Linked DNA regions of Mus musculus: regions 2, 3, 4, 5, 6 and 7 are each reported to be linked to region 1. The links are microRNA targets in miRTarBase. Many come from high-throughput screens and were not tested one by one. Region 1 holds a microRNA gene; each other region holds the end of a gene's coding sequence. Distances are between the middles of the regions.

Region 1 (4,077 bases):
CAGCCAGCGTCTCCTCCTCCCCCAGATAGCCCAATAATGTGAGCTTTAAAGAGCGCCTTCCTCTTTTGGACAAGATTGCCAAGGCTTCGCACTCTTACCTCTGGGGAAATTCTCAGGTTTGCATTGATACATCTGCATAAAGCGCTAATCTAGAACTGGGCCGAGAAGTACCGGTGGATACAGCTTGTGTGATTTAAAACCTCTCAAATCTTTTATTACAGATATTAGGAAACCAGCTGGTTTTAAATCGTGTTCACTAATTATTCCCACGAAAAGTTGCCTAGAACGCAACTGTTAATACCTTAAAAAATATACCTGGTTAAGTGGGCTGAGTTCCCTTGCCCCATGGAAAATTATGAAAACATTTAACGTTCCCTTCCAGGTCACAATCATGTGTGAGACGTTTCCCTGGAGATTTTGTCTGTATAGCAACTAACCATTTAATGACTTTACGGGGTTGACAGGAGCTGAAATGGAGATCCTAAAGCCAGTTTTTGGAAAGGAAATGAACACGATTGCTGAGATTTTCGTGGCGCTTTATTTTTTAGAGTGTTATTAATATGTCAGGCAAAGTCCAAAGATTTATAATCACAAGTCAATATAATGACCAAATCAGCTAAGGGATAATTTCTATTTTTCCAATATATCTAAAAATCACAAAAAATGTACCCCACACAAATTGATACATTGTATACTTAGCAGCTAAGGGCTAGCGGTTCCCCCCCCCCCCCCAAACCACTAATAGTATGGTAAGAATATTTCCCTATGGCTCTGTCCTCACCAAAATGACGATTCACAGGAGGCTCAGTCGGAGGAATTTCAGTCTTTTTACCTGGCTGTGTGGTTAGTGATTGGTACTATTAGCAATCAGCTAACTACACTGCCTAGTAACTAGACTCAGAAAAAAGCATGCAGTCTTTAGCTGGTGCTCTCAGACTTTGGTGTGACCAGAGCAAATCGTCAGCCAAGCTGTGGTTGACTCTAGTCGCTGCCTTGGTGATAGCTTTCTCAGAAGTGGAAATCAGGCAGTGAATCACAGCAGCAGCAGGAACTGTTCTGGGGGGGGGGGGGGGGGGGCTCTTCCTGGCCTTTTTTTTTTTTTTTTTTTTTATGTTAAGGCCGGTGTATACCGATTCTCTTTACACATCACTGAACCGTTTTTGCTCTGGCTCTTACACACAGGTAGCCGAACGGTCCCTAAAGGAGGCCGCCGGTCTCCGAGGGTTACTTGCACTTAGACCTCGTGCTCCCGGCCCTTTGCTGACGCATCCTGGCTCCGGCCTCGGCTTTCTGCGGAGTCAGTGGGGCTGCAGCGCTGGCTTCTCCTCCCGCGGGCGGCGGGTGATGCTGTGCCTTGTTTTGATGGCAGTGGAGTTAGTGATTGTCAGCACCGCACTACAATCAGCTAATTACACTGCCTACAAACCGAGCACCGGGCGCCCGCCACTGCAGCTCCCGAGGGTCGGGCCCCTCGCCCCCTTTCGCCACGGTCGACAGGCGAGGGCGGCGGAGCGAGAGGTGCCTCAGGCTCCCGAGGCCCCTCCACACCCAGCAGGGCCGCGCGCGACCCCAGGTGAACCCCCAGGCGCTGAGGCCCCCTGTCCCCGCCGTCCCCCCCGAGACCCCCGACTCAGCCCGGACCCCAGGGCATCCGGCCCGAGTCCTTCTTCCCGCAAGCCGGGTCTGACCCGCCTCCAACAACTTCTTCACGGCTTCCAGACCCAAGTCTAGAGCCGGTTCTGTCCAGCCCGCGCGCCCCGCAGCTCCTACTGGCCGAGTGACCGTGGCTCAGCGACCAACCGCCCTTGGAACCCCGAGGCCGAGGGGGCGGGGCGAGTGGGGGAGGGGTGGCAGAAGCTACCAGAAGGGGCAATGGGAGGGCTCCTGCAGAGCCTCCTGGGAAGGGGCCGGGGAGATGGAGAGACAGATTCTTGAGAAGTTTATCTTCACAGTGTAGTTACTGCTACATCGAAGAAAGAAGCGCAGAGACCTACATCCATCTCTCCTTCCCAATATATTGCCCAAGAAGCCCCAGGCCTCCTCACTGTTCATATGCCCATTCTCAGAAACCGCTTCCCAGGCGTCTCATCTGGAGCCTTCCTGCCTGAGCAGGCCTGGGCACTCATACCTGCAGGATTGCCCTTGCCTGTACCCAAGTTCTTTCTTAGGACTACCTCTTACAGGGCCATACAGTGAAGTGTGGGCCACTCTTCTGGTCAAACATTGAACCAACACCCTTGTTGGTAGGTCAAAGTTGTGGCCCTTATAAGATCAAAGACACAGTTTTGATGATCTCCCCGTGAGCCTTGAGGATATCTAGTCTCACTTTGGGCTCCTGTTTTATTTAAATGTTACAAATCCAGCACCTAACAGGCGTTTGTCTTACTACCCATCAGACAGTCTAGGTGGTAACAAAATGTGAACACATTATTTATTACTCCAGACAGTATAAAGTTGCTAAACTGATAGATTTTCCTAATAGAAAAAAACAGGTATGGGTGGGGGTGGGAGGTGTGCCAACAAGAGCTGACAGACACCATCATGGAGGAGGTGAGAGTTCAGGTAGATCCTTGAAGCAAGGGTAGATTTGGACATTAAGGATGAGGTCTGTAGAAGCCCGAGAAGCCATATCTTCTGTCAGTTACATTCCCCTTGTTTTTGCTATTTTATATCTGATAACGGGGTGCGTGTTTGTGTATATTGGGAATAGGAGGCGCTGAGGGGACAGCATTTCTGCGCCATCTTCACTAATATTTCTTTCCTTTAGTCTTTCCTCTCCTTTCCTTTAATTAATTGAGCCCAGAGAGGATATACAGTATTCTCTGATTGCAAACTTTGTGGAATTCAGTAGGAAGTAGCCGTCCCAGACTGTGGTCTTCCTGTATGCTGTATGACACCCATTTGTATTGATCCAACAGTCTTGCAGTCTACAAAGGGACATTTCTTAGCTATACACTGATACCTGTAAGCCCAGCAAATGGTCTTGTAGATGCCACTAATTACATGAATATATGCCAATCATCAGGAACATTCAACACAAATTCCAAGTGGAAACCATTAAAACCCAAGAACTTCCCAAGAATAAACTTGTGTATATTTTAACATTATCTTTGAAAGTAAAAGACAATGTTTTTTTCCTTCAGAGTCATTGTTTTATGAAGGCTTAAGTGAAAGGAAAATGAAGTAGAAAATGCCAGATTATTATAAAATTAACTTATGAAAGACATTTGTAAATAACTATCTTGTATTCAGTCTTCTTGTATTTGAGAAAAGTATAATGTATCCTACAAAAGGTCATTTAAACGTTCAAATATAAATAAAAGTAGTAGAAATAGCCTCCATCCCATAAACACTATGAAGAGTTACAAGTTTTAGGAGGACATCATTAAAAAATCATTTATTTTGCATTTTGCTCAATTTCACTCCATGTGTCATGCTTCCACCCAGCTTAGGGATTTTCTCTATTAGTAGCATCTTAAATATCTTACCTGAGTTTTATTGCTTCCATCCAAAGCTATCATTGCATAAACTGTCTTGAAATTTAGACTAAATTTTTTTCTTCAATGATAAAAAGTAAAATGATGAAAAAAAAATGCGTGTGCCCTAGTTCTGTTAGAAAGCAACAATAGAAAAGAATGTCTGTTCTTAGGGTTGCTGTTGATCCTGCCCACAGTTACTAGAGAAACTCCAAGGATCTTATTGCATCTGCTGGTCATGCCTAGGCATGTCTAGAGACCAGGGAGACTCATGTTTTAATCTAAGTAAGAATGCCTGTGGTGTGGTTAAAATGCCCAAGCAGACCATTACATTTGGTTAGATAGATCCAGGAAGGCACCTTGAGGAGGAGCTGTTTACTGCTTTAATTTCTGGGTTTTTGTTGATCTGGGAGATGGGGTAGGACCTTTGAGGAGATGGGTTGATAGTATTGACCGGAAGGAAACCATGAAAAGTATCAAAAACAAGAACTTCCTGCGTGAATCTGACAAATTTATCTTGACTTAATTTATGACTCCTGTAAAAGGGCCATCGAGAGATGACTTCCTCCTGTCAGTACACACAGCACATCGTCTGTACACG
Region 2 (4,077 bases), not on the chromosome of region 1:
GTTCACTGCCCTGGCAATGGCAGAGGTAGCTTGGGCCTGGAGGCCCTTGCCCCATTGTGTAGATAAAGATACCAAGTCCTGGGGAGATGAGCACCTGGCTTGGGTTGGATAGGGCTTTAGAAGCAATGTGAGCTGTCTCTGGGGGGAAAGCTATAGCTGAAGAGCTGAGGACCGGAAGAGGGGCCGTCTGGTCTGAGAAGTGGGTGTTGTGGAATAAGTGGGTTCGGACTCCTGGGCTAGGGATCAGGCTGCCCCGGTGCTTGATTCCAACAGGCATCTCCTTGATCATGTGGAACGCACTCTACACAGCCGAGAAGGTCATCATCCGCTGGACTCTGCTCACTGAGGCCTGCTACTTCGGGGTGCAGTCCCTGGGTGAGTGGTGTAGGGTGGTGGGAAGGCTATCAGGGTGCAGGAAGAGAAGGGCAGAGCACTGGGTGCTCCTACAACATAGACCAGTGTCCTGAATCCACAGCCCAGCCGTTCCCTCCAAGCCTGACACTCAGGATGCACTTCTAGGCACCTGCCACTTGGGGGCAGCAGACTGGCCTAGGCTGGTGTTAGGCTTCTGGAGGTCGTCAGCCTGCAGTCCCACTCACCACAGGGATGGTCGAGGGTATTCAGCCTAGCCTAGCGTCATGATGGGAGAGGCTCAAGCACGTGTCTGCTCCTGACCTTTGCCTCCCCCGACTTCCTTCACAGTGGTCACTGCCACGCTTGCTGAGACGGGCCTCATGTCCCTGGGGACCGTGCTGCTCCTGGCCAGCCGCCTCCTCTTTGTTATTGTCAGCATCTACTACTATTACCAAGTCGGCCGGAAACCCAAAAAAGTGTAGCAGGCTGGGACCTGCCTGGGCCTGGACCTGGGCCCGAGCAGCTGGGGACTTCACTGTCCATGGGTCCTAGACAGGCCTGCAGGCAGGCAGGGTGCACACGCCTTCCTTCCCTCCCAGGCACTCCACGGAGTCATCTTGGGTCTCCTGGGATTCTAGGAGTGACAGACCAGGCTGTGGCCTCTGCACCCCACCCCTCACCCTTGTGCAGGGACAACTCCTTGCCCTGTGTTTCTTGGCCTCTAGACTCTAACAGGCAGAGTCTAGAGTAAGTTTTAGGGTCTGGGCTGAGTCAAGGTGAGTTCCTCTGCCAGGAAGCCCTTTCTAGGAGGTTGTGTCGGCCCCAGCAGGGGCTCTCAGCTTCTCCCCATCCAGAAACCCGATGTGTGAGTCCCTCATCACACACGCACACACACACACACACACACACACACACACACACACACACACACACACACGGTGTTTCTAGAGATCCAGTTGAGGACATCTAGCAAGGGGAGTGACTGCCTCCCTTGGGCCAAGTTCCCCAGCCTCAGCCTGCACATCTCTCTCTTTGGCCTGCTGGAGGGTACTCTGATTCTCTGGCTGGCCGCCTGCGTCCCAGAGCACCAGAGTCCCTTCCCGACAGGCTAGGGTTAGGCAATGTACCACAGGCCTGATAGTCCCTGGCTCCTAGCTGCCCATAGGCTCCTAGTGCATGAGGAATTCTGAGGAGAGGACAAGTGGGGACATTTCCTCGGCATGGCCTCCAAGGCCTGCATGGCTACACACCTGGCTCAGTGCCTCCTCCAGATCCCCTCCTGAGGCTGCCCCAAGGCCTACGGGTTAAAGCCAATAGCTGCTCACATGCAACAACGGAAGGAGATTCAAGAGTCTGCCATCCCTTAGCAGCCCCTAAGTGGGCCTCTAGAGCTGAAGACACACCCCTGGTGCCACCAGCCTGTGTGGCCCCTCCCCTTGGCCCTAGCTCCCAGCACCTCCCTACCCTTCAGCAGCAAGCACACTAAGAGATTTGGCCCGAGGCTTCTCCCTTCTGCAAGGGGGTGGTCCCCTATACCCGAGGAATCTTTCTCTAGGGCACCTGGGCTCACAGCCTCCCTGGGCTCGGTTGTTCCTGCTGCCAAGTGCTCTGTGACCATGGCCTTTGCCTAGTGGAGGGAACTCAGTGGAGGATGTGCCCAGCAGTGGCCGGGGCTGCTTCTGTAACCAAGGTCTGGCAGAGTAGCGATTCCCTGCGTGTTCAGGAAGGGCCCATTGTGTATACCTGCCTCTTGTCACTGGCTTGGTGCCAGTCCCTCAGTCCCACCTCTTTACTCGGACCATGGACCCTGCCACTGCCAGCTCTTAGTACAGTCCCAACTACCGTAGACCAGGTGACATTTGTTGACACCATTCTCAGAGGTGTTGAAGATTTATCATCTTGAATCCTCCACAAATACAGATACAGTCCCAAGGGAGGTAGTCGTAGAAATGGAAGACGCCAGCCCTGCGCAGCCTGCAGGGACATCCGCCAGGCTTCCCCTCAGCAGCAGGAGCCCAGGTCACCCTGGTTAAACTGCAGTGATACATTTAGGTGGGTGGGGTCAAGGCATATGTGGCCTCCGGGAGACACCTGCTTGGAAGGAGGCAGTGATGGAGATAGAGCCCCACTCTGAGTCTGGGCTCAGAGTGCCCTGACTGCTCTCCCCCACCCCATCCCCAGCTCCTCTTGTCATGCTTCTGCCTGGCCCCCAAGACTGCCTCTGTCATGGTCACTATTTATTCTTGGTCCCTTTTTCTTTTTGTAAGAAACAGTCACAAGAAAACAACAACAACAACAAAAAACAACCAATGAGAAACAATCTGCGTGGTGTCCTGTTTTATATTACAAAATTTCTCTTAATATAGAATATAAAAAGGGGAGACTTGGGAGATACAATGATAAATTAGCTCTGTTTCCTACTGCAAGGGACATTTACAAATTCCAAAATAGACTTTAGCATATGACGTGTGTGTGTGTGTGTGTGTGTGTGTGTGTGTGTGTGTGTGTGTGTGTGTATCAGAGTTCCTGGGGATGAAGGTGCTGGGTTCAGAACCCAGGTAGGCCAGGGGCTTGGGACAGGATAATGGGGAGCATGAGCCACAGGTCCAGTCTTAGCTCCTCGCCTGTCAGATACAGCTGTCCCTTAGGCCACTGCTCTGGGACAGGAAGTGGCTGTTCTGCTCACTACTGGCTGAGGCATCTTGGGGTGAAGGAAGAGCTCCCCTCCATTCCTCTGGGAGTACACAGAGCAGCTCACCAAGCCCCACCAGGATGACCTCAGACAGCCTTGCAATGGCTACCAGCAAGCTCAGAGGGTGAAGACTGTGTCTGTCTGGCCCCATGAGGATGCTGAGAAGCTGGGTTGAATCAGGGCTACTTGGGAGCGCTTCAGCGTAAGTGTGGAAAGTTCTGGTGAGGGACTCTGATCTGCCCTGGAATTGCCTAGGCTCCATATCTGGCTTCTCAGTCCCTCCCTGTCCCAGCCCTGCCCATCTCTGGAAGCCTGGGCTAGTTCTGGGTGGCAGCCGCTGTGGTTGGGCTAAGTCCTCAACCTAGCCATGAACTTCCAATCAATAGCCAAGCCATTTGCCTTCCTAGACAGTTGGAGTCCAGTACGTGCTGGGTTCTGAGTCAGCCTGGGTCCTCTTAGTCTGGGGGTGCAAGCCAGCAGAGGGGCCCCCTGATCTGGTGACTCAGCCTCTAGGGAGCTTACTATGGGGATGCCAATTAAGCTGTCATAAAGACAACTTCCGTATAGCATTCAGAGACACCCACTCCCCGGAAGGCCAGGCTGGGTGAGGACCACATAAAGAGGAGAGAAAATGGGAGAAGTAGCCCCCCTTGCACCCAGACAGCAGAATAGAACAGGCTATGGCTATGACTCCCAGGTGGCAGAAGGGCAAAGGAAGGCTGGAGTTCAGGTCAGGCTCTTCCATCTGAGAGAGGAGAGCAGACACCTAGCTGTTCCTTCCACCACTGTTCCCCTTTTGTGCCCTTGGCAGACATAATTAATCAAATTTGAGATCCTGACAGACAACACTAATGGATTCAACACGGTCCTGGCAGGGTCAGGCATCTTGCAACTAGTTGCTAACCTAGCCTGCAGTTCAAGTTTGTGTGTGTGTGTGTGTGTGTGTGGGGGGGTGTTGGTTGGTTGGTTGGTTGTGAACCTATTAGTCTGGGGTGTTTGTTTGTGTGTGTGTGTGTGTGTGTGTGTGTGTG
Region 3 (4,077 bases), not on the chromosome of region 1:
AGCTCACAAGGGAAAGATGAGGCCCACATACTCCTTTCCCAGAAGTCTTGCATGCCTGCTCTGAACCTTTGCCCTGAACGGCTTGCCTCTCTTCCATCACCCCGTGGTTCCTAGGTCGGCCGAGTCAGTGTTTATGATTCCAAAAGACAGTCCGGAAAGACCAAGGAAACAAGCGTCAACTGGTGCATGGCTGATGGCTATGACCTAGAGATCCTGGATGGCACCAGAGGCACTGTGGATGGGTAAGGAGTGGGAGGGCACAGGAGAGGCCCAGGCAGGCTTCCTTCCAGACGCCCAGGGGCAGGCCCCTGCCTGCTAGTACTGAGTTCAGGGCCATCCACCCTGTGCAAAATCCACACCTTAGCCCCCACCTCACCTGCTCCCAGATGAATAACACGTGCCTTTGTTTCCCCAGACCAGGGAAAGAGTTGTCTCGGGTGTCCAAGAAGAATATTTTCCTTCAGTTTAAGAAGCTCTGCTCCTTCCGAGCCCGCAGAGATTTACTGCAGCTCTCTTATGGTGAAGCCAAGAAAGCTGCCCGTGACTATGACTTAGCCAAGAACTACTTCAAGAAAAGCCTGCGAGACATGGGCTATGGGAATTGGATCAGCAAACCCCAGGAGGAAAAGAACTTTTACCTCTGTCCAGTACCCAATGACTGATAGTGGGGCGCGTTTCTCCTGGGGTCAGAGGGCGGTCATGGCATTCCTCATCACACCGGGCCAGAGGATAGGAGCTTTTTTTACCCACTCCCCCCTTTTTTAATGGTAGAACCATAATAGATGGTACCAAGAACTGCTTTCTTTGGGATTTCAAGGTGGGGTCCAGCCAAGTCCCCACCTCCCTTTTCTCAAGGGAAGAGGCCAAGATTAAAGGAAATGGAAATGCTACCATTCCATATGTAGCACAGACAGTTCTTGGTCACATGGAGCCCAGGCCCCTCGGGCTTCGTTTTGCGGAGGTTTTTTTCATCTCCTTTTCCTTTGCTGCACTGGCCTCTTGTGGGTTTGATTCCATCCCATCAGTTCTCTGTAAATGATGTCAGGGGCCAGTGATGTCACCTGCAGATGCGCAGGCAGGCCCCTGCTCTGTCATCCTTCCCTCCTAGGATGCCTTCCTGTGATGAGGTTTCTCCTTCCCCACCCCAGAGGATAGAGGTGAACATAAAGGATTGGTGAAATGTTTACAAGGGCAGGAGTTGACAACCGTGGTCAGGGATTGTCGAACAACAGGAATGTGGTAAACTGTGGTTGGGACAGGCAAGCCCTACCCAGTAACAGGCCGTGCTGGCCCACCAAGGAACTTCCCTTCCTGGGCAGCAGGGAAGTTGAGAATCGGCCAGTGGGACCGAGGAAGGTACCCAAACCAAGCACGTCCCAGTAGGGGTCCACAAGCACTAACTAGAGTGCACCAGCATTCCATGGAATGTCGCTATGCCTCCATCTGCCCCTCCATGAGCACTCCCAGAAGCTGGCCCTGGGCACGTGTGGTGTTGGCCCCAGGCCCCAGCTGTTTGTGAAAAGCAGAGGGTGAGCATAGTGGGCAGAGCAGCTTTGCCCAGACGGCAAAGGTAAAGGCAGAGCATCCTGCCGGTGCACTGGGATTCTTCTGGTCTCAGCAGAAGTGACAAAGCCCTGCATAGAATTAATGTTTCTAAAAGGCCAGAGGCATTGATTCTGAACTGCATCAAAGACTGGAGATGCAAATATTACTTCTCCATTAGTAAATGTACTTTCATTCTATCAGATGGCTTCAGAAGCTGGGTCACGGACAGGGCACAGGGCCCTGGAATCTCTGCCCTGCTCCTTTGAGGATCTTCATTTACATACAAGTGTTGTAGGTGGCAGGGCAGGCTGGCCTCCCACTCTGGGATGGGCTTCTTTGACTCCTCCCCCTCTGACAGTGACTTGTGGGTATGTGGGAGCCTCTGTAGAATCTGGTTCTAGCATCAGATCAACCAGCCAGACCCTGCTCCATTCTGCCCCTCTAGGACCAAGCCCACCTCTTTCCTCTGAATGGTGTGGCTCCATCTGGAGACAGCTGGCCAGTGTGTTCAACAGTTTCCTGCACCCCCTTGCTTAACCCTCAGAGCTGCCTGGTTCCCCCACCCTCTGGCCCACTGCCAACAGCAAACATCACATTCGTACTTCAAGTCTAATGGCTACTGCCTCCTCAATCTATGAACAGATCTGGCCAACACAAGAACCTGTGTCTTCACAATACACTGGGGATGTCTTTGCACAGCCAAATCATCCTATGAAACTCCAGCGTCTGTGGAAGTGAGAAAGCAGCACCATGCTTGTGGTGTCGGCTGGAGGCGTGTCACCCTCCGGCAACTGCATCTGAAGCAGAGCCCTTGTGGTTTCCAGGCCTGGACAGGGAGCTCTTCCCCTGGGGTCTAAAGGACAGAGATGTCTCTCCCTTTGATTCCTTTGGTCCCTCTGGTCCTCCCTGGGTATTCACACATACCCCAATCCTGTCTAGACAACGAGTGGTTCTGGGTTTCTGCAGATGGAAGAGAGCAAGGTGTCCCTGAGTTCTGTGGACTTGACCCCCGCATCCCACCCTGACCCTGCCTCCAGTCCCGCTGGCCGAGGGCAGAGCCTCCTCCCACTGTGCTTCCTTCACGTTTACTTTAAGAAGCAGGGCCTCCCTCCACACCGTCTCTTAATACTTTCTGTAGTTGATTTGTCTGAACCGTGGCTGTCTTGCATTCCTTGAATAATCATGTGTAAGAATTGTCAATGCTTGAAACTATTTCCTGTACTCAAGTTGAAGGGACTTTGTTGGCCTTGGGGTTTTAGCAGTGACTCCAAGAGCAGAGTGGGGAAGCACCCAGGCATAGCCTTGGCGCTGTGATGGATGCAGTCCCTCCCTCTGTCCCTTTACAAGTGACAGTATACATTCCTAAAAATAAAAACACTGAAGCATCAGGACTGTTACAAAGTTTTATATCTTGGTTCTTGGGGGAGGTGAGATTGGGAACAGGGACCTGTGACAGGATCTCTGGCCACAGCCACAGTAGTTTCAAGGGCCCCACTGCTTCTACAGTCTGACTGTAGTTCAGGCAGTGTGATGTGCCAGCCAGTTGGGGACTCGGCTATGTCCTCAGCACTTTCCCTGCTTCAAAACTTTTCCCACCTGAGCCCACTCTGTCATCTTTTGTTCCTAGTTTGGGGGTTGTGGGGCTTAGTAGATTTCAAAGCCCCAAATGAGAAAACAGCACTGGAGACAGCAGAAATCTCTGCTCCTGCCAGTCTTGCTGGTGTTGCTCTCCCCACAAGCCTCGGCCTTTACTGTCCTGTACGTGCCCTTTGGAAGGCAGTTGCAGCTGGGACCACGACACATTCAGATGCACCTTTTAACTTTGTGGATGGCATCGAAAGTCCCCCTCTTAAATTTTAAGGAAACCCAGCTCTTAGTAACTTACTTCAGAACTCCTGGAAGACCTATCTTTGACCTTTCAACAGTGACAACATACCCAAAGACACTGAGTGTGAACTCTCTCATAATCCTTTAGACAGATGGGTCAGCTGAGGTCAGAAGACCCAGTGACATGTTTTGGGGCACAGCACTTAAGTCCAGGGCTTCATGTGGTAGTCACTCCCTGTTTAACTGAGCTGAGCAGTTTTAAAGGCAGTTCGAGGTGACAACTCCTGCTGTCCTAAAGTCTCAGTGGCTCTGTCCTCCAGCAGCCACTGGGTCCAAATTCGAGGAATGGAGTATTCCAGTTTCTGAGGGTGTATCCAGCTTTGTGGGCTAGAAGTGTTGCTCAGGATAAATTGGCATCACGTACAAGTGGATTCCGTTGATCCCTGGCCCTCAAATTTAAAGATAGATGGTTTCCTTAAAGCCTAGCTGAAGGCCCCAAGGGCTCACCCACAGATTCACTCTGATCCCAGGATCTGAGCACAGCCTGTGCAGTGGGGGTCTGCCAGCTCACTGAAGCCTGGATATTTTAGAACCCAGACTGGAGAGGAAGCCCAAACCCACACCACCCCTGGTGGTTCCTTATAGAGGGTCTTCCCCAGAGGTCCCTTCTGGGTCTAGCCACCTGGCCATTTCTTTTGCATCTAA
Region 4 (4,077 bases), not on the chromosome of region 1:
TTGGCTGCAGGCCTCGGAGCTGGCGGTAGCGTTCCCTCAGCCCCTGCCTTCTCTCACGCAATCCGCTTGCCAACACTACACATCATCATTTTCTAATTGGCTCCCTTCGCGCCCACCAATCATCAGGCTGACTGCCCCTCAGTGATGAGAGGAAAACTGCGGGGCGATTGGCTATGAGGAAAGCTAGGGTAGGAGCCCCCTCACCCTCAGTCTTGCAATGTTTTAGCCAATGGGAAAAGTACCAGTGATTCTGAAGACCACAAGACTAGGCCCGGGGAGGGTGGCTGGGAGTGCGCAAGCACCAGGGAACGAGATGTGCTCAAATGAAATCAGAGAGCCTCGCTATCATTCTCCCCGCCCCACTCCCCCAACAACTACGCACTTTTAAAATCTGTCCCTTCCCCCACCAGTTTATGCCTGTGGGGTGAGCGCTGTAGCCCCTCAGTCGCAGGCTGCTTTGAACTGCTAGTAGTTTAAATATCTGAGGTCTTTTTGCTTTGGTGGTCAGGTTTTGACATGGCTTTTTCTATTTCTGCAAAATGGCTCCACAGATGCAAAGAGTAACTTCCTCTGCGTCATTAAAAAAAAAAAAAGGTGATTCAACTAATGTGCTAGATTTTTCTAGAACTTTAAAATTCTCTTTGTCTACACATAATTTCTACCCCAGCTTTTCCTAAATGAATGCGGCTATTAATTGTACCCTAATATTATATTTTATTTTGTTTGTGATCAGAAATGGCTGGTCTTTGATGAGGCACGATGGTGGAGTTTTGGCTCTGGTTCTAGAATCCACATAGCAGGTGACTTCCACTGTGACTTTAGCCAAATCACTGCCCCTCTCTGAGCTTGTTTCTTCTACATTAGACATTCCTAAGGAGAGGAGATAATTGCCCATTGCAGCCTTGCTGTGGTAGCAGAGGAAGGAACCTCAGAATCCATCAACAGGAAAATGGATGTGATATGTGTTTTAGATGGACTACTAGAATAAATTTGATCTATGTATAGCAACATGGCTGGATTTCGCAAAAACAGAATGTTAAGTGAAAAAAGAAACAGAGCAAGATTTATAGTACAATACTGTTTATGTAAATTAAAACACATCAATACCATATATTTTCCACAGATACACATAAGTAAATAAACACATGAACGGTGGTTTGGAAGGACACACATTAAGTACTGAAGAGCGGTGCCTATGTGGGGTTGGAAGGATGGGATCAGGAATGGGTGATGAAGGGGACAAAGCAAAATAATAAAAGGACCTTGCATGGACCAATGATAGAGTGTGCCAAGAACTGAGTAATAGGGTCAGCTCAATTCTGTGCACCTGAAGAAATAAGTAAATAAATAGTAAATTAATTGAGTGCTTAGGGAGTAGGCCAGCTGGGTAGATCCCCAGACTTGGGCTTTTTCGTTATGTTATCTTTCCTTCTGAATTTAGTCAAAGCTAAACCAAGTCCCAGCTGTATACAGTGGAACCGTAAGAAGGACTTGCAGTTTAGGCTGAGCAGTTCCTCTAAAAGCCATTACATTGCAGGGGGCCATTTCTTAACCCCATTGCCTTCATGTTTGATCCCTCCCCTATTCCCAGTTCCTATTTCCATGGTGGTCTAATATAAGAAATACCTTGTTTGAAATTTGGGGTGAGGATTGAATCTCCAGACATTGGGAAGAGATGGGGTTCTAAAGTATTCTCTCCTTACCTGGTGCTCAGAAGCTGGGCCAAAGGAAGACAACTTTATGAGATGGGAGTTGACTCTCTTGACACATACATACATGAAAAATTTCAGGTTCCATCTCCTAAGCACTCTATTTCCTGCTGCAGGCACATACTAAGTTTTGTCTCCTCTCCATTGTGTGTATGTGTGTGTGTGTATACTCTATTTCTTCACATATATGTATTTGCTCACATATGTGTACCAGGCAAGTTTTCCTCAGAGGTTCTTACCCACACAAAGTCACACAGACACACACTATCTCATTCAATCATACCTCCTCATGTGATCATACACAGATAGGAGACATGGACACACACACACACACACACACACACACACACACACACACACAGAGAGAGAGAGAGAGAGAGAGAGAGAGAGAGAGAGAGAACATCCAATATAACATTGTTCATTTCACTTTTTCCATTTACAAAATCCAATGATGAATCCAGGCAGTTAGAAAAAGGAAACGGAGGAAAACCCTCCCGAGTTTACCCTATTTGCCCTCCCACCTTGGTCTTTGCACCCCAGCCCTCAGAAAGGCATTTCTATCATCATCACTGAGAGAATAGCCCCACCCCAAACACACATTCCCAGCCTCTCAGCTCCTCTGGCTTGCTTTTCCAGGGCCACTCCACAACCAGGGTCATCAATATCTCTTCTGCCTAGAGTGCCCCCTTCATTGCTTTTGGGTCAAGACTACCTCAGTTCAGGGCCTATCTTGGGGTAGAGGTGGAGTTTAGGACAGGAGTTTATAAGGAAGGAAAGGAGATGGAGAGATCACTGCCCCAGACTTAGGCAAAGAGTTCCAACTTGGCTCACCAGTCTGTAGAACTGGCCTTGAAGTAAGCCCAAAGTGGTTTTTGTCCATGGAAAAGAGGCTTGGGACCATCCACCTGTAAGAGTGGATGGAGAAAAAACTTCTGGGAAGGATGTTTGGGGCCCAACCAAGGAGGAGCTCAAGGACTGTGAGGCTTGGAAGGGACAAAAAGAGGTCAAGCAGAAATGGACTCAATTCCACAGTGCCTTGAAGTTTGTATAACTTTTGATTATCAAGGTCTCCAAAGAATTTTATTTTAGGGGGGAGTATTGTGAACCCAAGGGATAATTGTGGGGTTGAATTTAGCTCTGACCCCATGGTCTGGGCTCTAGGTACTCTGGAGAGTTCAACTATTTCCCCATGGGTGACTTTCCCTGTCAGCTTATACCCACATCATCCCTAATGGGGACTAAAGTGGATATATATTCCTAGGAGGAAAAGTTAGTTATATATTCCTGGAGGAAGCTTGAGTGAACGTAGCTAAGTTTGGTATATTCTGGTTGAGGAGCCCATCCCCCATTCTGCTCTTCATCTAGCCTGGGCACATCATGGAGGCTCTTCTTTGTATGCTCTTGGCTTCTCAAACAGCCTCAAGAAACACCTGTGAAGTCTGGACATGGTAGGGAGGGATTGGAGATTGGGCTTTGGACCAAGGTTAGCCAAAAACAACATTGCACATAGCACATAGCAATTTAAACATCCTTGCTCCCAAGGAATATAGCACCCCATTTGGTCCCTCTTGTCTGAAGACTTAAGCCAATATTTCCTAAACATCCAAGTCTTGCTAAAGGATTTGGAAGGGGAGGGTGAATGGGAGCCCAGGGGACGATACGATCTCTGGGAATCTATTTTACAGGAGAAACTTCCCATTTCTTGACAATGTCAAAAGGGGGGACATTTAAGCAAGAGAGCCTACTTCCTCAGCTGTTATTATTAAAAACCCTGCATTTTCAGTTTGTTTTCATTTACTGAATCATTACTTTAGAAAGATAGGAGAGGGGAGAGGGAAGGGAAGGCAGGGAGGGCATGGGAAAAGGAGATTGTTGAAGTGGAGGAGGCTGCGGGACAATCCCCACAAAACTAGAAATGCCTCTTTTCCAGTTCCTCACCCCGTTTCCAACCCTAGGGAGGTGTTGGCGAGTTGCCTCAGTTATGGATGGTTTGAGAGCCTGGACTGAAGCTTGAAAGAGAAGGCTTCTGTATGGGTCCCACCCTTCCCCTGCTGCTGGCCCCCGTATGGTGATTCTGACTTTCCCCCTGCCTATCACCTACGGGCTTGCTTCACATGACACAGTAGGGTTCTCTGGGAGCTGGGGCACCTCCTGTGCCCCAGCAAGGGGCATGAGTCCTCAGGCACTTCTTGAGGTCCTTGTTAAGCAGGAAGCAGACGATTGGGTTGACGGCAGCCTGGGCGAAGCTCATCCAAACAGCAGTGGCCAAGTAGCGGTGGGGCACAGCGCAGGCTTTCACAAACACTCGCCAGTAGCAGGCCACAATGTATGGTGACCAGAGGAGCAGGAAGAGCAGTGTAATCGCGTA
Region 5 (4,077 bases), not on the chromosome of region 1:
GTTTCAATCTTTACCTAACTTTCTCCTCACTCATACAAGTGCTAAGGGGGAAAAAAAGACTGCATCTACCAATCTCCTTCCCGTAAGCATCACCCAGAGTACTCACTCTGTAAGACCAGTCTTGCTGTAACATGGGGTGGGAGTGGGGCAAGAACAATAAAACTTGAGCCCTGGCAGACACGTTTAGAATGAGTTATACCAATCCATCTATACACACATACAGACACTTATATGTATATACAATATATACATACAAGTGAAAATAGCTATACCCAAAATGTGCACATTTAACAGTTTTAAAACGCCAGTAGATCATGGTATAATAAAATTTATTTCCACTTGTAAATGGCACAAATGGAGAAATGCAAAGGTGTTCAAGTACAATGAAGTCATTTTTACAGGTGAAAATAAATCATATTATTCCAGTGTCCAAAACAATGTTATCCTATGTTTAAAATGCTAGACATTAACAGAAGCACAAAATTACTAAATTCTGCCTTATGATCTGAAAGTTTCCAATGTTTGGAAGTGATGTACAGAAAACTTCTTAGTAGCAGGATGGGATCTCCAGGACAGTTTCTTTAGTGTTATGTTTACGTGGTGTCCGGGCAGCCAAGACATCACAATGACTATGTACAAAGCTCCATTTACTAGCAAGGCCTTGACTTCGGGCTGTTTCACCTGTGGGTGTGACGTCAAGTTCAGGACTATCCATCTCTAGATATGGAAATGTGCAGAAGAGCAGGAGCTCCTTAAAAAATAAACATGCTTTCAGCTAACATTGTTTATACAGTGCAAACACTTTCTGATGTCAAGATTTAGGGTTAGAACTAAGTTTAAAAGAAAGTTATGTGCAAAGGACAGAGAATCTAATTAGGAATACAATGTCTCAACATATAGGCTTTGCATTTTTAAAATGCTGACCCCAAAAAAGGGGGACCAAGAACTGTTTCCCTGTCAGGTTCTGGATACCAGATATAGGTCTACAACCTCTGGTGTGCTACAAGCTCGCCATGCTCTCATCCTGTTAAACACACATATAATGAATGAATACCAACAACTGGGGAGGAGGTAGTGTTAATTTGGTCAAATGTTGACATTTCTGCTTTTTTTTCCCCATTAAGTACTTGCCCTGATTTCAGGGCATTTCAAACCCTTTCAAATTTTCCTGCTACCAGTTTTTACTGTGACCACTCCTGCTGTGTACATGATTCAACTAGAGTTATTATAGGCTATAAACACAAACCTATTCATTTTAATCATTGTGCAAACTACATGCATTGTAACTAAATTGATGTTATCATCCAGGTATAATGACCTACATGGAAAAACTGGGTGCCACACAATTAGATGGGGGCAGAAATCCTTACTGGACAGACAGACAGTCAGTATTCAAACACACTAGTGTGAGTGCATTATGATCAAAATGGACTCATTAACTAAATTTGACCAAGTGACTCTCACAATGGGTGATAAAATGTGTTTCTGGTAGTAGTTTGGAGTTTGAAGAAATGTCTTGCATATATTGGATCTGCTTTCTCAATCTAACCTTCTGGTAGCAGATAGTTGCCAGAACAGTTTTTTAAGATGATATTCTTTTATAGTTTTGAATATCCTATTAAACTCTAAAGCTTCCCCTTATTTCCTCAAAACATATAGAATTTTCAATTTGTCTGAGAAACTCCTTAATAGTATTTTGAGTGAAAAAGGAAAAAAAGAGAAAGAAAAAGAAAAAAGAAAAGCCCTTTTCATTAGCTATAGCAAGTATATGTTAACCTAAAAACTGATGGGGAATATGTTTAAAACCCTGCCTAGACCTGTGTGTGAATACTATTAACCTTCTATTGGATTTTCAAAGGACCTATACTATAGCATCTACCTTTCTTTTGTTCTTTCTTTTTTGAGACACTTGTAGGCAGCCTTGAACCTGAGATTCCTATCCCTGCCTCCTAAATGCTGGGATTATAGGCATTTGCTACCACACCCTGATCTAATTTTTCTTTTAATTAGTGTCAGAAAACCTCAAACCAATGTCAGAAACTTCTGAAGGGGGTACGTCATGGAAACTGGACTGACATACCTGGACAAGACATAAAGCATGGTTAAGAAAACTAAGAACTTCCATACTAGCAGATGACAATTTGGTCACTAGTTTGTTCTAATTATGATTAAGAGAATGCTTACCATCTACCTAAATGAAAAGCAGGACCCAAAGTTAGTAGCAAGAGCTCTTCAAGACAACTGAAAAGGGAGCAGGACAATAACTTATACAAAACCTCTGGTCTCTCACTAAAGAGGGCATTTGCCCTAGTCTACCACCAACTCAAGGCGCCACACAAGCAATGGGATATTAACTAACATTGATGAAGAACACTGGATTGATCCTTCATTGAAGAACAGACAAAACACACTCCCCAAATATTAGTGGTCCTTGACCACTACATAATATCTTCAAATTTTGTTTTCTTTCATTCACCAAACTACCTAGTTCCTTTCTCAGTAGTATTTTAGCACTAAAGCTAGAGACTTCTGAAAGGAATTTGCTATTATATGATATTAACATGGACCCAGATGGTCACTAAGTCTCAATGAATTAAGAATTCATAAGGTACTACAGCAACAAAAACAGCAATTAAGCACAGAGGACCTGTAAATGAAGCAATAACTACAGTGTGAAGATTAGTCAGCAGCTGATAGTCATTGGCTCAGTGACTCCTGGTGGCAACTAAGTAGTTAAATAATTGACTATTGCTACCTGTAAACAGGAAATCCCATGAGCTAAAAAGGGGGCAGTAAAACTATGTCTATGTAGTGTGATGAATATGCTAATAGATGGCAGTTCAAATATGGCATCATCCAATACCTCTGGCATTTGCTTTGTGTTGGCTATAGGTCTTCATTTTTGTACAAACAAAGCAAAGGTACTGTTTGGAGTCTCAAGTTTGGGTCACATGAGATATTGTACAAGAAACAAAATGTCAGGCTAGCTATACAGGCTTTCCCTCCTCCCTGCTGAGCATCCCTGTCACAGGAACTTTCAGGGGCCCCTCTCGCCCTCTAGTTTTTCCCCTCTGAAAGCTCACAGGCTTGTTAGTGCAATAGCCACACAGCTTATGATCTCCTTATGCAACTCCGTCTTACGATGATACAACCTACAAAATCTGACAAAATTCTGAATCATTTATAGCAAAGAACTAAATGATTTTCTACCACTGAAAAGGTAAATGCAATCTTTTAATGTTCATGGTCTTGTTTTTTAGTTCAAATGAGGTTGAGAAATCAGATCAATTCATAAATAAAGAAAACCCACTGGTGAGGAGCGGAGGTGTATGTGCTTCAGCATGGATGCTGCCTGCTGTTAGGGACTCACAGAACTGGAATATGAAGGAAGGCTTTAGATCTTCTGACACATTTCTTAGGCTATGGATACCCTAAAGTGATGATTCAGATTAGCTTGCTTCATTCTGTTTTTATATTGTTCAGATAATACCCCTTCTAATTAAGCCAATTTTTTTTTTTTGCCACATACATGAAATACTTATCTATTATCACTTTAAAAATTTTCCAAAAGTTAAACAAAAACAAAAAGCCAACCACAAAAACCCCGGCAGCCAAATACTATGACATCCCAATTAGTAAACACAAAACATAACGCTTTACAAAGACAAATAAAATATACCATATGCACAGCTTCCACACGGTAGTACCCAAGTGAGGAGGCTGCTGTGATGATGTCTGTAGGCAGTTTCTTTTGGCAGACAGCTCCAGAGGAATTGCCACTTTCAATTATTATGTGTAAGACATGTGTGACCCATTGGATATTTGTGAAGTGACACTCGTGCTTCTGCTCATGCCCTGTTCCGTCCGTCCCCCAGAAGCTGTCCGCCTCAAAGCCTGGGGGCTATTGCGGACTCCCATACTGCTACCTCGAGGTACCCCTTGCATTGGCCCTGAGGGATGACCCCATGGTTGGGGTCCACCTTGCATCGGATGACCCCAAGCTTGTGGTGTGCCACCCATGGGATGACCCCAGTGAGGTCCTGGACCCCCAGTAGGATTGTGAGACCAACTAGAAGC
Region 6 (4,000 bases), not on the chromosome of region 1:
ATGGTTTTCTGGGCTGCAGTAGCAAGTAGTGGAGCCCTTGTTTTGGGGTCAATATCAGCTTTCAGACTTTTTCCCTTTCCTTTATGCCTTCTCCATGTTTGTGTCTTAAAGTGTGCCTTTTATTCTCTTCAGGTCTCCCAGTCGCTGGGCAAACCTCAGAATTTGTTAACCAAGTGTTAGGGAAGACTGCTGAAGGCAACCCCACTGGAGGCCTTGTAGGACTAAGGATACCAGCATCAAAAGTGTAATCAGCCTCATTGGACCACTGGTCAGAAATGTCTGTTTTTGTCATGTTATCCATTGTAAATTTTCATTCTGTTTTGCATGTCAATTAGCATTATGTAAACATTTATAATTAGGTTACATTGTTTTAAAAACAATAGCATAAGTGAAGCATGATCCAAAATACTTGATTATTGCATTTTCAGAGCATAAACCAGTGACCCTGCTGCTGGCATGAGAAAGAAGCTCACACATTAAGTAAATATGAGGTACAGATTGTAAACATTTGTTGAAGCAGAGTGTTTTGGGTGAGTGAATATATTAGTATAATGCTGAGTGTTAAGGTGGGTTTATGCTCTGAACCACACAAAAATACCGAGGAAGCATTTTTTTTCAAAGTCCATTTAGATTGTTTTTAGAATGACTGCTTTTTGTTCTAATTTTTTACAGCCATTAATCTCACATGTACATGGCGCACCCAGCACTCACGTGTGTACCATGTTTAGATGTTTTTCAGAACTCAATATGATATATAAAAATACATATATATATATATATATATATACATACATATATATATATAGAATTGTCTGTGCAAGTAAGAAAAAGCATACTCTTTGTGCCTTGTATTTTGGGGAAACTCTAAAACTGGTAATATTTTGTATGATGAAAATCCTAATGAGGAAAACCAAGATATATAGATGAGAAAATTATGGGGTTTAAATGTCTTTTTGTTCCAACTCTTTTTCAGATTTTTTTGAATGTATATAGGACTATGTCAAAATGTAGATATATGCCACAGAGTCTGTGTATTGTATAAAAAAAAAAACAAAAAACAAAAACAAACAAAAAAAGATGGCTCTAGAGAACTCCTATTTCGGTACTTGACCGGAAGAAAATACTTGCACATTATTGCGATTGTTTTATTTTTTCTACCAAAGACAAATGCAACTGGTATGGCAGACTGCCAGTCTAAGTAAAGTTTTGCACAGCTTACATGATACTGTATGAATGTATGAAACAGAGAAAAAATTAAAAGGTCAGGGTTAGGGATCTTACTCAACTGTGAACTTTATTTCTGTTTGGGTCCAATTATCTACAGAAGGAGCATCCATACATCCAAATATTATTTTGCTGTCCTCTAGTTTGCTTCCATAGTAGATAAGTTGGTGGCCACTTAGGTGTCTTTTATTTCTGCAGTTATTGTAGGAAATTTTAATATATTTCATATTAGTAAGCTATTGATAAAATAGTTTTTGACTTTGAAAATTAAAGTTTATTTAGCTTATTGTAGTATACTTCCACCAAACAACCAAAATACAGATTATTTTTATCGTATTATGTATATATATATGTAAAGAGATAAAAAAGCTAAAAATATCTAATACTTTAGTTGCCACTTTTCCAATTGATGTTATTGTGCATGTAATATTTTCAAAGATCAACACAAGCTTAAAACAAATTTATAAATTTTTATATTTTTGTACAGGTATTTTCTTCAAACTTACATGTGACTTATCTTGTGTAGTTTCTAGACTTGAGAAACATGACCACGCTTAGTTTTAGGTGCTCTTCTTTGCTTTAGTGGTCAGTTGTAGCTGTGCTCAAGCTTTGCCTCTTGATGAGAGATTCCTATGCCCCACAGGTCCTTCCATCCCGTCTTTCTTGACTGTTTTATCTCAGATCTTGTGTTTGGAACTATGAAAACTGGTGGCTTCAAAAGTAAAAACAAACATATCTAGAAGAAAAGCCTGAGATGTCAGACATAGTTGCTGTTTCTCCACCACCTTTTGATAGAACTAAGATAGCTGTCCTTGGTCTGTCTGCACAGGAGTTTCTTTCCTTTTTCTTTCTCCCCTTTTGTAAGCTATAGCACATGAAGTTTCAATTAGAAAACACAGTTACAATCCAAAAATGTGTCTGACTTGCCTCTTTGACATCATGAATCATAAGAAACCAAGACTTGTCTTGACACGTTAGCTGAAACTGTGACAAGGTTCCTGTGTGTTTGGTGGAAATGTACCTTTAGTTCATCCACCCTAACAGATAATAAGCTCACGTGTCATGGTTAACAGAATTAAAGTTTTACTTTCTATGTGGGAAAAGGCAAACCATAGGTTCACAAATGGAAGTGTCTGAAGTCTCGAAAGTGTTCCAGAACCTGGCGGTTTTCAGTCAAATGACTGTCACTTCATGATCGCGAGTCAGTTGGCGAAGTTTATAAAATTGCCCCTTTCTAGCTACCCTGTTTTAGGAATTCTGGTTTTTTGATACCTTTTTCTTGTCTGCAAACCAGAATTTGATTTTTGGTCTTGCATTTCAAAACACTTTGAATCTGTTTAGTAGATTCCATACCCGTGCATTTCAGTGTTTTATATGTACTCCTTAAGTTAAATAGTTGAAAGCCTTTAAATAGTTGAGCTTTTTAATGTTGACTCTTTATTTTGTACCTATTTATATATGTATGTATATCTTAGGAAAGCACTTTGTTATAAAATTGCATTTTATATGATTCCTGCCATTTGCTGCTAAACTTGGGCTGGTCAGAACGCTGCAGCGATACTTGATCTAAATAAAAACCTGGCAGTAAAATGTAGAGTGCAAGTTAAATCCTCTTGCTGTTTAAGATGACATAGGCAAGCTGTGCAGCTTTACATTTTAACCAGGGGACTCTGTGGCATTTAAAACCGTCTAGAAATGGTTGTACTTTTAATGCCAGTAATGAACTGCTTCCTCTATTGTCTTTAAAATATCCTACACCTAGTGTATCACAGGCGGTTCTCACAAGTGTGTAAAAACCCAGCAGTTGTATATGTTGTATTTTAAAAAATCGTGGTTTGTATTTTTGGGTGGAAATCGTTAGAGTGAGAGCTGTCTAGAGGTTTTCTGTGTTCATACATGGTATACAGAGAGCTCATGAAGTCCAGAGCCTTCCCTTAAGTGAAGGAAGGCATTGTGAATTCTCCTCAGATCAACCCACCGTTCCAAAGGCAACCATAAACTGACTACAGTACTACTACAGTAAAAAATAACAATGAACCTTCTGCTTCCTGGCTTCAGATACACTGGATTCTTTAGTCTGTGCCCACATGAGAGCATGCTGCCGGGCTGCTCCTACATAAGTTTCCTGTGAGTCTTGCAATCAGTGTGGTTGCTTGCTGTGCTGTACCATGTATGTGGGTCCTCATCCTTTCCATGTCCTTCATGAGCGAGTTGGGTGTGGCTTAACCTTGTGCCTTACTTGTACACTTAAATGATGCATCTTCATTCCTTCCATCCCATTCCCAAACCTTAACTCTGTTCTTTTTGTAAGAGAATCACAACTATTCCAGAAGCATCATGAAGGATTTCAGATGGGCGTCGTTTCATAGTTCCCTCTCTTTGTAGTTGTTTTATACTTGTAGGAGAGAACAGTTTTGAATGATCTTTGAGTAATCGTGTTACGTCCTTCTCTCTGGCTTCTGTGAGGCTGTCCTGCGTCTCTGATGCTTGGCTTCGCTCACACCTTAGCAAGTCTGCATTTACAGGCAGATGTGCTCACTTCATCTGCTCGAAAGTGATTCTTTTGTTTTCCAGAAGTTTTTAGGAGAAGAGTACCTATTTTGTTTGTTTTTTACAACAGATGACAAGTCTCTTTAAAAGAAACTGAAGTACAGTACTTTTGAAATACAATGCTATTGGTATGAAGTTCTCTTTTATATATAATATTCATACAATTATCTGATGTTTGCCTTCATTAATAAAGCTGTTAGTTTATTCACCAAAATGTCAAGAATGG
Region 7 (4,077 bases), 57 Mb from region 1:
CCCCAAGCATGGCTGGGAATTTCCCACCAGCAAAGAAAGGCTGAATTGAGAAGCCGCCCCCACCAGTCCTGGGACAATGGAGCCTTATGCCCTCCAAGTCAGAGCTGAAGTAGAAAGGCCAAAGGCAGGTGGGGGCCTAACTGTCTACCAGGGTAAGCCCTGCTTGCCAGAACCACACCCAGACCCAGTGCCAAGTGAGATCCTAGGGGATACAGGACAGAGCCCTAAATGGCCCACCCAGGCAGGGAGGCACCGGGTGCATCAGGCAGACAATGCCAGTTTCTCAATGGCCCTCTGTGCGGGGTTCCCCTCAGGACAGAAGGAAGGAACCATCTCCGGTGTTTGCTTCCTGATGGGCGGGTATGGTGACTCTGGAATAGCTCCAGCCCGCCTGCGCACATTGGGGTTCAGGCCCGAGCCTCTAAAGAAAGACAGGGATTTGGGGATGGCACAGGATCCTGTTCTTGTCAGTTGTACCCTGTGGCAGAGGTAGCCGGAATGGCCTGAGGAACTGGGGCGGGGGAGAAGCCGAGGGAAGAGCAGGCACTCCTTCCGACTCGCCGCCACAACCTTTCATCTCCTGCCAGTATCAGAGGCCCGGTGGCCTGTGGCCACTGACAGGTGTAAGGAGGCGAAGTCCCAGGTCCCGGGTCCAATCCCTCCCTCCCTCCCCCGCCTCCGCGGCGCCGACCCCCGCCCGCCCCAGGACCCAGCCGCTTTGTCAGGCCGCGGGCGCGGAGCCTCCAATGCCACACAAAGCTGCTTTTGTGTCAAGCGTCCTCCACGGGACCCGGTGACGTCAGCCTGCGTGACCAGCTCAGCAGCTGCGGAGAGGACGGGCTGAGGCGCCCCCTGGCGGCCGGCGGCAGAGGCCTCGGAGCTCCGCCCAGCTGGGGCCGGTCTTTCGCCTAGCCGTCCCGGTAGCAGGCGCTGCCCGCGGCTGCCCCTGCAGTTCCTGGAAGAAAACCCAGGCATTTAGCGCTGCGCTCCGCCCAGTACTCAGCACTTCCCTTAGCTTTGTTTTCCACATCAACCTTCCAATGCAGCCAATGACAGACCCCCATGAACCCTTCCTTGACAGCCTGTCCCCACCCCTCTGATTTGGCGACGTGGTATTCTGGCACTTATTACACAAAATGAATTTCGTTATAACGTTTCAGCACGTATAAAACGCACTTTTGTCTTACTAACACCTATTACCTATTACTCTCTTGCTGACCCCCGGCCCTTTCCAACTGCCCCTTCCTCCACTTTCAAAGAGTTTCTCCACAGGGTTGCTTCCAGGACTATGGATACCTTACCAGGAGCTACAATACTGAAGACAATGTCTCTTCCTTCCTCAATCACTCAGTTAGGGGGACAGTTGGGGGTGAGCCACCTCCTCATTCCATGACAGGATGTTAACCAGCCCCATCCAGTGGGAAGAGTGCTTTACTACATCCTATCTTTCTGCAATTATATTCTTCGTCCCGATTTTACAATGTTCCTTGAGTCTTAGAGGCAACTTGGTTTTTGTTTTTTGTTTTTTTAAAATTTATTATATATAAGTACACTGTAGCTGTCCTCAGACACTCCAGAAGAGGGAGTCAGATCTCGTTAAGGATGGTTGTGAGCCACCATGTGGTTGCTGGGATTTGAACTCCGGACCTTCGGAAGAGCAGTCCGCTGCTCTTACCCACTGAGCCATCTCACCAGCCCGCAACTTGGTTTTTTTGAGTTTCAATATATAGCCCAGGCTGGTCTAGAACTCTTGGTCAATCTCCTGCCTCACCTTCTTGTAGGCTACAATTAAATGCATATGCCACCACCCCTAGTTTTCTGAGTCTGTTAAGCCAAGGAGTGCAGCCTACTTATCTGTGCTATCTCTGCTCCTCCGAACTTTCAAGAACCCTCTAGAAGAGTTCCCAAGGTTCAGAAGGTCTGAAGGCTGCCCCAGGCCACAAACTGCAAAATTAGGACTAGAAGGCTGCATAGCCTCTAACATGTAAGTTGACCAGTCCAGAGGGCAAACTAAAGCTAGAGAACTGGGATGGAACTCTGCCTAGAAAGCTGATGTCCAGGGGCCCATCCCAGGTGTGGCACTAAGGTGTGGGATATCTTCTTCTTGCTCAGTCCCCAGGAGAAAAGAACACGGAAGTTTTTGGTGTTTTCTTTCTACATTTTATTATTTCAAATCATGTGAACAATTCCATAAAACATGTGAAAAAAGCAAGGAAGTGTTCAACGCTGGAGGACCCGGGCCTGGGGCGAGGGCGTGAGGGGCCTGGCCCTCAGCAGGCAGCGGCGGTTCCTAGATTAGCGCTAAGGAGCTACATTTAGGTTAATGGAGCCAGGGCCCAGGGCTTCAGAGCAGGGCCCTCAGTGACGTTGGCAGTTGTCTGGAACAGCCCTTGGAATCCAATTCCGTGGAGGGCAGAGCAGGGGGCCGCCCAAAGAGGGATGGGTGTAAACACGCAGACACACTCAAGGCACGGAATCGCTGGAAAGGGGTGGGGCTGGGGCTGGGCTGGGGTGGGGGTGCTGGTCAGGACCTGACAGTTTTAAATAGGTTTCTCTAAAAAGTTTTCTAGATTTGCAGTTTTCCTTATTTTTCCTTTTTCTTTTTCTTTAAAGCTACGAGAATGAGCAGGTGGGCTTTGTCTCCAGGAATGGCGGTATCTCTCACGCTTCTTGTGCTTTTTCCTTTGGGGCCTCCGAGCGGCAGAGAGTGGGGTAGGCAGGAGGCTCCCTGTAAACATTTGGACTTGGGTCAGGGCTGGTGTTGGACAAAGCCAGGGGTCTAGGCTGGAGGAGTTGGTACCCTCCAGACATAGGCCTTGGGATCTCTGCATGCGCTCCCCGCTCACCCCAGAACAAGACAACGGTTAGAAAACCCGAACGGATGCCCAGGAAGGGGGTACCATGGCTACTCCCGGCACCTCAGACAAAGGTGGGTTTTAGACTGGGAGGCCTGTGGCAACCCCTCCCCCAAGTCTAGAGCCGAGGGAGGGGACAGGGGAGCTGAGAACAGAGAGAAAAGATGGGAGAAGCAGCTGGGGGAACAGGCAGGGAACATGGTCTTCTTGCCCCCATCTTCCTCAGGGGTAGTGGGGAGCACAGTCAGCGGTGGCCCTGGAGGTGGATGACAGACACAGCCTGGGTTACATGTGGCTCCTCTTCTTGCCTCTCTAAACAATGACCTTCTTCTCCCCCACCTCCTTGTTACCAGGGACACAGCTGTGCCCAGAGGCCAGCTTCTGTTGCTGGGTTACAGGATGTGTATATCAGTGACACTGCGGTCACTGAATGTACGCCAGGGCCAGTGGGGCTGGCCTGGGCCTAGGACTCTCAGGTCTGAGAGACAGAAGTCTAAGAACAAGAGTGAACCTGGTCAGTGAGCAGCGGGGTGCCTGGGTCTCCTGCATCTAGATTAGGCTAGAATACCATGGAGGCAAGGAAGCAACTCCTTCCAAAGAACACTGACCACCCCTCTAGCTCTGTCCAGGAGAGTGCCAGGACCCTTTTTTATTCCCTCTCCTCTGGTCCCTGACTGCCCTGCCTGACCCTTTCTCTCCAGGCTGAGTACTCCCAAATGACTTCCCCCAATTCCCCAGACCCCTGTTGTTTGACAACCCCCTGACTCACCATCCTGCCAGGTCCACTGCCCCTCAGAAGAGGCCACAGTCCTTCAGGTTGTTCTTGATGATGACGTCAGTGACGGCATCGAACACAAACTGCACGTTCTTGGTGTCGGTGGCGCACGTGAAGTGCGTGTAGATCTCCTTGGTGTCTTTGCGCTTATTTAGATCCTCAAACTTGCTCTGGATGTAGCTGGCTGCCTCGTCGTACTTGTTGGCCCCTAAGGAAGACGAATGAAGACTTGTGTATGTGCATGTACAGCAGAACTCTGTGCCCACAACAGACAAGCATGTAATGTGCACAGCACGGTCATGTGTAAGTGCGTGTGCTGTATGAAGGATGTTTCCTATGTACGTATGCTCAACGGTAGAGGCCCATGGGTGGTAACAAGCCTTTTGTGTGTAGACACAGTGCATTCCTGAGTGAGGTCCCACAGGTCCTGTGTTTTTCCTTCTGTCC

What was found. The annotated mature microRNA mmu-miR-34b-5p reads AGGCAGUGUAAUUAGCUGAUUGU and lies in region 1 at 1,398-1,420, opposite strand. An mRNA with a match to its seed (bases 2 to 7 or 8) in the 3' UTR can be bound and repressed. Matches are read on the target gene's strand: a 7mer-m8 pairs with bases 2 to 8, a 7mer-A1 pairs with bases 2 to 7 and ends in A, and an 8mer does both.
Region 2: the mRNA of Trp53i11 is a reported target of mmu-miR-34b-5p. Seed matches in the 3' UTR shown: 8mer at 2,166-2,173.
Region 3: the mRNA of Adar is a reported target of mmu-miR-34b-5p. Seed matches in the 3' UTR shown: 8mer at 2,118-2,125.
Region 4: miRTarBase lists Gpr173 as a target of mmu-miR-34b-5p. The part of its 3' UTR that is shown has no 7-base or 8-base seed match.
Region 5: miRTarBase lists Taok1 as a target of mmu-miR-34b-5p. Seed matches in the 3' UTR shown: 7mer-A1 at 2,834-2,840.
Region 6: the mRNA of Crebrf is a reported target of mmu-miR-34b-5p. Seed matches in the 3' UTR shown: 7mer-A1 at 1,186-1,192.
Region 7: the mRNA of Gnai2 is a reported target of mmu-miR-34b-5p. Seed matches in the 3' UTR shown: 7mer-A1 at 2,369-2,375.

The regions. Positions count from the first base shown.
Region 1 is chr9:51,102,213-51,106,289 of GRCm38, forward strand. It overlaps Mir34b (microRNA 34b), which reads right to left and starts at 1,433; the gene lies at 1,350-1,433. It overlaps Mir34c (microRNA 34c), which reads right to left and starts at 898; the gene lies at 822-898. It also overlaps a transcript of Hoatz not described here and a transcript of Btg4 not described here.
Region 2 is chr2:93,199,084-93,203,160 of GRCm38, forward strand. It overlaps Trp53i11 (transformation related protein 53 inducible protein 11), which reads left to right. Exons shown (of 8, transcript NM_001025246.2): 7 at 274-375; 8 at 703-2,674. The coding sequence ends at 836. Tspan18 (tetraspanin 18) reads right to left here. Exons shown (of 10, transcript NM_183180.2): 10 at 2,677-4,077. Among named protein-coding and RNA genes, the nearest start is that of Trp53i11, 14 kb to the left of the region's middle.
Region 3 is chr3:89,750,514-89,754,590 of GRCm38, forward strand. It overlaps Adar (adenosine deaminase, RNA-specific), which reads left to right. Exons shown (of 15, transcript NM_001146296.1): 14 at 115-242; 15 at 416-2,942. The coding sequence ends at 662. It overlaps Chrnb2 (cholinergic receptor, nicotinic, beta polypeptide 2 (neuronal)), which reads right to left. Exons shown (of 6, transcript NM_009602.4): 6 at 2,935-4,077. Among named protein-coding and RNA genes, the nearest start is that of Chrnb2, 12 kb to the right of the region's middle.
Region 4 is chrX:152,342,535-152,346,611 of GRCm38, forward strand. It overlaps Gpr173 (G-protein coupled receptor 173), which reads right to left. Exons shown (of 4, transcript NM_001359449.1): 4 at 1,064-4,077. The coding sequence ends at 3,820. Among named protein-coding and RNA genes, the nearest start is that of Tspyl2, 2.1 kb to the left of the region's middle.
Region 5 is chr11:77,534,078-77,538,154 of GRCm38, forward strand. It overlaps Taok1 (TAO kinase 1), which reads right to left. Exons shown (of 21, transcript NM_001364134.1): 21 at 1-4,077. The coding sequence ends at 3,790. Among named protein-coding and RNA genes, the nearest start is that of Abhd15, 21 kb to the left of the region's middle.
Region 6 is chr17:26,771,160-26,775,159 of GRCm38, forward strand. It overlaps Crebrf (CREB3 regulatory factor), which reads left to right. Exons shown (of 9, transcript NM_029870.2): 9 at 133-4,000. The coding sequence ends at 248. Among named protein-coding and RNA genes, the nearest start is that of Bnip1, 7.9 kb to the right of the region's middle.
Region 7 is chr9:107,611,988-107,616,064 of GRCm38, forward strand. Gnai2 (guanine nucleotide binding protein (G protein), alpha inhibiting 2) reads right to left here. Exons shown (of 9, transcript NM_008138.5): 8 at 3,625-3,838; 9 at 2,138-3,111. The coding sequence ends at 3,648. Among named protein-coding and RNA genes, the nearest start is that of Sema3b, 4.8 kb to the left of the region's middle.